Coturnix japonica: one gene and its partners. The protein of the gene in region 1 purifies or fractionates together with the protein of each later gene. This does not show direct contact. Links are inferred from orthologs where the notes say so. Each region holds a gene or a part of one and is shown in the gene's direction. Other genes may lie near its edges.

What was found. The genes of interacting proteins can lie anywhere in the genome.
Region 2: the proteins of INTS6 (region 1) and PPP2CB purify together in Homo sapiens (affinity purification with mass spectrometry; 3 studies listed by BioGRID and IntAct, with this or other methods). This does not show direct contact. The link is inferred for Coturnix japonica from reciprocal best matches to the Homo sapiens genes INTS6 and PPP2CB.
Region 3: the proteins of INTS6 (region 1) and POLR2C purify together in Homo sapiens (affinity purification with mass spectrometry; 3 studies listed by BioGRID and IntAct, with this or other methods). This does not show direct contact. The link is inferred for Coturnix japonica from reciprocal best matches to the Homo sapiens genes INTS6 and POLR2C.

What each region holds. Positions count from the first base shown.
Region 1 is NC_029516.1:152,140,613-152,144,268, reverse strand, and holds the end of INTS6 (integrator complex subunit 6), read left to right. Parts: intron 1-862; coding exon 863-1,231; intron 1,232-1,670; coding exon 1,671-1,764; intron 1,765-2,849; coding exon 2,850-2,943; 3' UTR 2,944-3,444; downstream 3,445-3,656. UniProt on the Homo sapiens protein: Component of the integrator complex, a multiprotein complex that terminates RNA polymerase II (Pol II) transcription in the promoter-proximal region of genes.
Region 2 is NC_029519.1:30,561,615-30,565,068, reverse strand, and holds part of PPP2CB (serine/threonine-protein phosphatase 2A catalytic subunit beta isoform), read left to right. Parts: exon of another isoform or gene 1-1,088; coding exon 1,089-1,298; exon of another isoform or gene 1,299-1,304; intron 1,305-1,587; coding exon 1,588-1,761; exon of another isoform or gene 1,762-2,247; coding exon 2,248-2,337; exon of another isoform or gene 2,338-3,454.
Region 3 is NC_029526.1:1,904,549-1,906,901, forward strand, and holds the end of POLR2C (DNA-directed RNA polymerase II subunit RPB3), read left to right. Parts: exon of another isoform or gene 1-465; coding exon 466-540; exon of another isoform or gene 541-1,031; intron 1,032-1,202; coding exon 1,203-1,347; 3' UTR 1,348-1,701; downstream 1,702-2,353. UniProt on the Homo sapiens protein: Core component of RNA polymerase II (Pol II), a DNA-dependent RNA polymerase which synthesizes mRNA precursors and many functional non-coding RNAs using the four ribonucleoside triphosphates as substrates.

The sequences.
Region 1 (3,656 bases):
AATGACTTTGATGAGGGGATAGTGGCCACCCTCAGCAAGTTTGCTGATGATACGAAGTTGGTAGGATTGGCTGACACCAAAAAGCCCAATGGCATACTGGGGTGAATTAAAAAGAGCATGTCCAGCAGGTCGAGGGAGGTGATCTTCCCCCTCTACTCTGCCCTAATCTGGAATATTGTGTCCAGTCCTGGGCTCCCCAGTACAAAACAGACAGGGATCTCTTGGAAAGAGTCCTGCAGAGGGCCATAAAGATGGTGAAGGGCCTGGAGCATCTCCCCTATTAGGAGAGACTTAGGGAACTGGGTCTGTTTAGCCTTGAGAAGACTGAGAGGGGACCTGATCCAGGTCTATAAATATCTGAGGTGTGAGGGGCAAAGTGGTGAGGCCAGTCTCTTTTCAGCAGTGTGTGCAAGAACTTCTTTACAGTGAGGGTGACGGAGCACTGGAACAGGCTGCCCAGGGAGGTGGTGGAGTCTCCTTCTCTGGAGATATTCAAGACCCCCCTAGACGCCTACCTGTGTGAAGTGGTGTAGGGAGCCTGCTTTGGCAGGGGGGTTGGACTCGATCTCTGGAGGTCTTTCCCAACCCCTATAATTCTGTGATTCTGTGAAGAATACAGCTGTAATTTTAAGCCATTAGCTGAGAGGAAATAAACCGATGTGCTTTTTGTTACAGCCCAGAAACAACAACCCACAAACGTTTTCTTGTGCCGGGCATGTATAATAGACAGGCTGAAGCATAGTTCTAGAAGTATTGCTGCTTGCCGTAGTCTCAGTGATCTCTATCAGATCATAAAGAAGGCAGAACTTGTATGAGTAATCTGTGTTTTATTGTATTTTTTTTGTTTTTTTTTTTTTTTTAGCATCAGAAGCTAATAATGAGATTGCAATGGATGATGTGGTAGAGAATCATGTTACAGACCCGCTTTCATCAGATGATTTCCCAGATGCTGTGGATTCTGAATTTTCAATGTCTTCTTCATTCAATTCATTGGATCGATCAGCAGCTCATATAGAGGGTGCAGGCCATGAGCATCTAGGGAATAACTTGAATGTTGATGGATTTTTGGAGAATCATGATGAATCAAGTAGTAAAGAAGAAAATACTGAAGACAGTTTGCCAATATCTTCAACCAGCAAAGGGAAAAAAACAGTGCCCTGCAGAAGTTCCAGAGAGATTAATATAGAGCTGAGAGCACAAATCATGAAAGAGATCCGAAAACCAGGAAGAAGTAAGCATTCCAAATCTCTTCATTAAATGACTGGCATGAGAGCTAGGCAAAGAATTAATATTATTTTGCCTTTTCAGAAAAATACTAAACCGTGAAGAGTGAAATGAAATTGAAAGCTAGATAGATTTGTTTTAAAGCAGCTTGTAAAAACTTCCTGGATGAATGATTCTAATACTGCTGCATCTGTCAATTTCCATGAAAGTAATGGTTATCGTTATTGATATTAGAATTATAGGTATCCTAGTAATATCCTAAACATGACCATCTGATTATGGTTTTTAATGTTAATGTTGATAAAACTGTATGTTATCATTATAAGCCTGGATTTTAGATGATCTGTCTTATCAGAAGCTGAATTAATTCTCTTGCCTTTGTTCACATAAAGCAAAATGTTTTAACGGGTGTCTCTTTAACTGTTTTTGCTCTTATTTTTTTCAAGAATACGAAAGAATCTTCTTTTTACTGAAGCATGTACAAGGAAGCTTACAAACCAGACTGATATTTTTGCAAAATGTAATTAAAGAAGCTTCAAGGTAGGTAAGATTAAGATCTTAAAGTAAGATTGTATAAGATTAATACAATACTGAATTGTATTAATCTTATAAAACTGCACCATCTACTGCTCCTTGTAATTGCTTGACATCCATGCAGTCCTGTGTCTTAAACTTCCCACACAATGCTTTGTGTGAATCATTTTGTAGAAAACAAACACTAGAAATACATAAACTTCCTGATGGTTTTGGTGTTTTTTTTTGCTTTATACTGAGTCTTAATGTTAGTAGCTGTAACTGCTAAATCATCATAAAGGTAGGTGAACAATGGTATAGGAAGAAAAGGTAATTAGATAATCATTTAACTTCTGGGAACTTGCGAACAGATGCTTTTGCCAGAGTTTAATATGGTCATAATACCAAACTCAGAGTACAGTTCAGAACAGTGCAAGTGTGTGATCTTTTCATTGCTGCTTTGAGTACATGTTAGCTGCCAAAGCATTGGTCAGAAGTTGCTTCTTGAATGCAGAAGTGTCGCAAGGGGTGGTAGCTGGAAACAACAAGGAACAGCATGCTGCAAGGCAGCGGTTTGAGCGAAGGAGACAATGTTCTCATGCTCAAATTTCTGTAGTCTGGAGGGAATAGAAGTACAGAGACTCCAAGTATGGTTTACATCTATATTTCTTCAGTTCCTCTCAAACTTCTTATTTATATTTTCTCATTATCTCAAAACACGCTCTATGCTCTGTGATGGCCATTTTGCCATCAGAACCAAATTCTCTTCTGTGCTTGTGCCATGAAGGCATGCAGAATAAAAGCTGCTGCTACCTTTAGGACTGTAGTTCTTTCATATGTTTTCTTTACTTCTGGAAATAGAAAACAATGGTTTTTCTGGCATTCTGAAGGCTGAGTGATATTTAACCTCGTACTGGGCCAGAGTTGTAGTAACACCAGTTTGTATTCTCTTACTAAATGGGAGAAGCAAGTTAGTAGTTACCTAAAGTTCTAGTAAGCGAAGTACATGCAATGCCATCACTCAGTGTACCTAAAATGATAGCTCAGTAAACACTCTGCTAACGATACTTGATGTATGATGTGCATTCATTAATACCTTGTTTTAAATACAGGTTTAAAAAACGAATGCTGATAGAACAGCTGGAGAGTTTTCTGGAAGAAATCCATCGCAGATCCAATCAGGTCAACCATATCAACAGCAGCTAAGGAACTGCACAGCAGAGCCACAGCAGGGCACTGCTGTTCTTACTTGCATTCATTTTTGACATGCACTCTTATCCCAAGTTCTGTATATGGAAGAATGAGAAGCTGCTCTATAAAAGAATGAGAAAAGTATCTGTCATCTTTTTTTTTTTTTTCTTCCTTTCTGTTACTTTGTAATGTGAAAAAATATCACTAAAACATTTTTATTTAACTAAATGGAGAACTCCTTGTCTGTCCACGGACTTCAGTGTCACTTTCCCTCAGGTTCTATTTTCTTACGCTGATCTTCGAAACGATCACCTCTTAAGGTTGAGCTTTGCCAAAAAGTTGATTTGTAATTTTCAGAAAAGAGGAAAAAAAAAAAGCACATACATAAAACAAGGTAATGTTTTGTATATACAGTTATTTTGGATATATTATTGTAAGTTGTATAAATGTATTTTGACAAATATTTAAGAAAAGCACTTTTGTTATTCCATCAATAAAAGCTCTATTTTAACGTTTGCCTGGGATTGAGTTCAGTTTTTACTGGAATTGGTTCATTTTGCCTTCCTTTTAGGGAACTTCCATTTGTTGGTGTTAGTCTGATGCTGTATGATGAGCAGGTTTGTGTCACTGAATGTTCTGTTCTTCATTAAAAGCTGTTGAAGTGAAAGCAGAATTGTGACTATGGTAAAATGAACAGCCCAGCCATCCTGGACATAAAGTATCACTTT
Region 2 (3,454 bases), on another chromosome or scaffold:
TTAGCACCGGCTCTGCTCAGACGATGAGGTGGCTTTGTAGATACAGAGCAAATGCGCTGCTTGCAGTGCTGTTTCCATGGCACAAATCTGTTCCTGTCAAATCCTGGTTTTAGGATAGCACGCGTGGTTCCTGGGTGTGCAGCGATGGGGAGAGGAAGCACGAGGGATGCCAAAGGATGAAGACGGTGAACATTAGCTGCCAGGGCCGGCAGGAGAGAGATTTGACCCTGCTGCCATGTTGCCAGTGGAGGCAAGGCATGTGGATCCTCATGGCTTTACCCTTGCTCTGGCAAACCAAGTTCTTCAAAAACCATAGTAGTTGCCTGGACATTGTGCGTGGTCTCTTCAGGTGTTGCTGCCCTGACCACAGGCTGCCAAACCCTGTTCTTGCACGCCTCCCACAGAAATGGTGCTGACAGGATGTGAGATGGCCAGCGATACAGTTGTGGTTCTTGAGGCAAAGCTGCCAGGTACCATGGAGCTGAGTGGCTCTTGGCTTTGGCAGTCAGACTGGAACCCCAGTGCTGTTGTAGTTACATAGGTCAGATGAATCAGCCTGAGCTCTTCCGAACCAAGAAATCTATCAATTGAATGGACCAGTATGCTTCACACAAACAAGTCAGTTGTGCTTAAGGAGATGAGATCTGCATGTGATGCTAATGAAACACTGGAACAGCACTTGCAGTCACTGTATGCACTTCAGAAATGACTGGAAAAAGCAGAGGCTTCATGGATGAACCCCATCAGGGATGGAAGTCGTATGCAACAGCAAGTCTTGACATTCACACTCCTTAATTTCAGGAGAGGTTAAGAATTCACTTGTCCATTTACTTCTTTGAAGTTGTTTCTTGTCATACATGGTACAATAAAATCTGTGCGTCCAGGCTTTGCAGTACCAAACTTGTCTTACTGCACGACTGTCTGTACAATGCACTTTGCCTTTGCTTATTCAACAAGCTCTTTTTCTAGTGGTCATCCTTCTGTCTTAGAGGGAAACTGAATTTCAAGTGCAGACGCAGTGGAGTAACTTCTGCTCCTGCCAGTGGAGGAGCGTCCTGCATCTTTGTTCTGTTTTTTTCTCTTGCTAGGCTAAGGAAATTCTTACAAAAGAGTCAAATGTGCAGGAGGTACGTTGCCCTGTCACCGTCTGTGGGGATGTCCATGGCCAATTCCACGACCTTATGGAACTCTTCAGAATCGGTGGGAAGTCTCCAGACACAAATTACCTGTTCATGGGAGACTACGTGGACAGAGGCTACTACTCGGTGGAAACGGTGACTCTACTAGTAGCGCTAAAGGTACGGCTGGACAGCTTTGTTATGACGACTATGGGCAAAGCTGTGCTTTTCAGGGGATATGAAAGAATAGTTCCCCTGTTGACACTACAGTTGGCTTGAGCTCAGTGGATGTACGTTTGAATGTGTTAATGTACACATGTTTTTATATAATAGACCCGAGTGCTTGCCTGCTGTGTGAAGCTTCTAGGTAGCATTTCTCCATTCTTTTATACAGTTCTTGTCTTAAAGAAAAGTTGCTTTTCCCCCCCCCCCCCCCCCCTCCCCCCCTTTTTTTTTTTTTGGTCAATAGGTGCACTACCCAGAACGCATTACTATACTGAGAGGAAATCATGAAAGCAGACAAATTACACAAGTGTATGGCTTTTATGATGAATGCCTGCGGAAATACGGCAACGCCAACGTCTGGAAGTATTTCACAGATCTGTTTGATTATCTTCCACTTACAGCTCTAGTAGATGGCCAGGTAAGCTTTCCTGCCTTGAATAAAGAAAACTCTTTGTTTTGTAACATAATGCAGTCTGTGCCGCCTGACCCACACATGAACAGTCTCAAACAAGCTTTTTGTGTTTACTGTGGGTTTTGGGAAGAACTTGGTGAAGTATCAATACAGGTTGATGGTGCAGCAAGGCCTCTGCATTTGCTGCCTAAGGAATAACAGGGTATTGGTCATTTTAAAGGGCTCTTCAGCAGGTGAGAATCCCCTTGTGATACTTCACATGTAAGTTGACATATCGCTGTGATACTGAAGGCACAGCATGTTTGTTGCTTCAGTATTAGTGTGTAATGTGCAGCCTTCCAGTTTCATTTCCATCTGAGACAGTTAAAATTTGTTTCTCCCCTGTGAGTGTAGACCACTGTAATTGCAAAATAATGCAGAAACAGCTATTTCTGAGATGAGTCTTCCCGTAGCAAAAATGTATTCAATGGATCACTCTTCTTTCTGCAACAGATATTCTGTCTCCACGGTGGCCTCTCTCCATCCATAGATACACTGGATCATATCAGGGCTCTGGACCGCCTCCAGGAAGTTCCACATGAGGTAACAGGAAACTAGGTGCACTACAATTCAGATATGCTTGTTGAAAATGTAAATGCACAGTCATGCAGAAATGCATTTGCACTGTGAGACATACTGTTACGCAGAAGATTATTGCCTCAGTTAAGAGCTACAGCAAATGAAAACTCATTTGATTAAAACACACCCAAGTCAATATGCTTCAATTACAGCAATCTGCAAAAGGAGAGCTGTGGGGTTTTCACAGCTGTTATTCACAGAAACAGATTTTCTTGACCGTCATGCTGACTCAGTCATATTGGCAAGGGAAAGTGCCTCACTGCAGACTTCCTTGTGAACCAACCACCAGCACACAGAGCTGTTGCGTCACTATCCCTCCACCCCAGCCAGTACTTTTTGTGTTTTCACCATGTTCACTGCTACCCTCTTCTGGGTGACCTGACAAAATTAGAAGGTGCCCATAGGAGATGCCGATGTGCAGGAGTCCCACAAGGAGCAGCTGGGGAGTGCCAGTCGGAGTGAAGAAACCACCTTTTGAGCTCCCAGGCTAACAAATAGCTCTGCTCTGCTGGAGTTGTTGGGGCTTACAGATGGTCTTGATTATCCCTCAGTGAAAACAAACTTCTTGTCCTGAAACGTATGGGGTACAGGAGCAAGAACAGAGTGACAAGGTCTGCCTGAGATTTCTGAAACAAGCTGTTTGAATTGCCCCCAGCATTAGGAGGGAGGCTGCTTGGTGGGGTTCTGATTGTAGATAGATGGTATTAATTTTTTTGTTGCTCTGGGGTTTTCACAGTCTTATGCTGCATATGTTTGCTGAGATCTAAATTTCCTGAGGACCTCTGTGTATGATCCCTACCACGTAGTTTGGATCAGTGGATGGGAGACAGCAGAAGGCTTTGACAAGTACCAGACAGTTCGTAGTGCCCTTTAGTTTCTTAATAGCTCAGTGAGAAAAGCTGCTGGTGAATGTTAAAAGACATGTACCAGGGTATTTCTGAATATGTAAAATCCAATGAACAACAATTCAGGAGAGGAAACTACATGCTTAATACCCTGCCAGAAGAACCGCTGAAGATTAACAATCAATCTTTTGATTAGTTCACTTAGGTCACTTCAGGTGGATAATTTCCCTTGCATT
Region 3 (2,353 bases), on another chromosome or scaffold:
TTCCAAGTTCATCTTGCTTCTAGTGAAGACAATACAGAGACAGATGTCTCTGCTATCCAAGGATAGTTATTGTTTTGGTTTTAGTTTTGAGGCTGCTGGCAGAGTGCTGGAATGCAGCTGGACTCTCAAAGCAGACGTCATGGTGAAACAAGGTTCAGTCTCTGCCCTGTTTTCAGTAATGGACAGCGTGGCAAGTAACATGAAGGCTCATGAATGCTATATATTTGTTGCAGGTGGAAGGTTTTGTTGGAAAATGCAGTTTTATTGAGGACCACTGGTGACAGGACACGATGATCTTGGTCTCATTGGGTCTGAGGGAGGCTGGCAGGAGACTGTGGTGGGCATGGAGTTTTCTATGCTGGCTTCTCAGGCTGCTCAAGGTGGAGGAAATAGAAAGGGCTACATTAATGTGAACTTTTTTTCCATGATTTGATCCAGTGCTGACCTTCCCTGCTCTCATTCCAGGCCCAAGAGTGAATACTCAGAGATCGATGAGGAGGATGCTCAGGCTCCATATGACCCCAATGGGAAGCCCGAGAGGTAGGAAGCTGGATGTGCTCCCACTGCTGGGAGGAGGGGGATGGAGCTGGGTGCACTGCGTTTGCTGTTGGTGTGAGTTGGATGTGCTGCACCAGCGCAGAGAGCTGCTGCTCCCTGGAAAGCAAGGCAGGAGTTGCAATTAACTGGTGATGTGCCCAGGCCTGGCAGGTTTTGCCCTCTGGGTGACTCTTCAGAGTTCCTGTTACCAGGTAGGGCACTGCAATATTTGGTCAAGTGTCTTGGAGAGATGGCTTAGGGTGATGCTGAAGACACTGATGTCATCAGCAGTATTATTCACCCACGTGAGTCTCTCATGCTCTGATTGCTGCTGCTGCCCTCTCTACCAGGTGATAATGTGTTGCAGGAGTGCCTGCAGCCAGACAGCCAGTCTTAGCTTCCCCGTGCAGCTTTCACATCACATAGCTGAGCAGAGAAAGCCTCACAAGGGCTCTTGCATTTTGGAGGGTCGTGAGGGCTGCTATGAGCTCCATGGGAGTCTGTGGCTGCTGTTGTAGCAGGGCAGTGCTGGCTCATGCCCAGAGGGGAGCTCAGCATCTCCCTGCAGTGGGTCCTGGTGGGTTAGAGCTGCTGTGTGGGTGCTCTCTGGTTTTGTACCTCCTCACAGAACACTTGGTAACTTTCTCCCTGACTTGTAACCTCAGGTTTTATTACAACGTGGAATCTTGTGGCTCTTTGCGCCCCGAAACCATCGTTCTCTCTGCACTGTCTGGCCTGAAGAAGAAGCTGAGTGACCTCCAGACCCAGCTGAGCCATGAGATCCAGAGTGATGTGCTCACTATAAACTGAGGTGGCCCTTTGCAGGAGATTGTCCAGGCAGGAGTGATGCAGAAGGTTCCTGCCTCTGCCTGGCTGCACTCGGGGCTGAGGGATTGTCTCCTCATCTCCCTCTGCTTCTCCTGGTGCAGATCTGCTCGTTAGTAGCACTTCTCTTCCCAGAGAAAGCCATGATGACACGTAGGGTAAAGCAGGAGGAAAGTCTTTGCTGGGTGGGGGTGGGCTTTGTCTCTGATCCGAGTTTTGGACTGTGGTCACGTAGTGTTTGGGACTGGGAAGCATGTACCTCAATTACACAACCCTGTCCTGTTTGTATGTCTGTTCCTTAAGTGTACTGAATAAAGCCTTAACGCCTGTGTTCAGTCATCTCTGAAAGCTCATCTGGGGCTGCAGGAGGAGATAACACATCATTTAGTTCCCTCCAACAGACATTAACTTAATGAGGCCTGCTTTGGAGGGAGCGTTGCTCTGTAACAGCTGATTGCTGCTCTTGACCTACTGAGCTCTGTGATCTACTGAGGGTGCCAGAACCCCTGCAGCAGGTAGTGCTGGAACTGCCAGGGACAGGACTATGTTTAAAGCAGATGTTCAAGGCTGGGCTGCTAAGAGCCACATCACAGGAGGGAGGGTGGGCCAGGGAGACTTAGCTGTGTTTAAGGACTCCTTTGGAGCAGACTCTGCCCATGTGCTGTGTGCCATGGGGCTGGGCAGTGTCTGTCACTGGTAACCCCCAGCTGGCAGCTCTTTGCAGCATGCAGGGGCTGAGCTGGCTCTGTGCTTAACCAAAGCAGTGGCCAGAGGGCTCCAAGAGCTGCACAGTCACCCCTTCTCCCCTTCCTCAGCACCCAGGATGTGGGACAGGCTCCTTGCTTTGCTGAGAGAGTGTGAGCAGGACTTGCTACAGCCCTCTTCCCTCCCCAGCTCTTGCAGGGCTTCCTTTGGAATGTCCTTGCAGGCGCTGGAGGCAGAACAAAGCTTGGAGCCAAACGCTGCCTGTAGCATGAGGAAATCTCCCCTG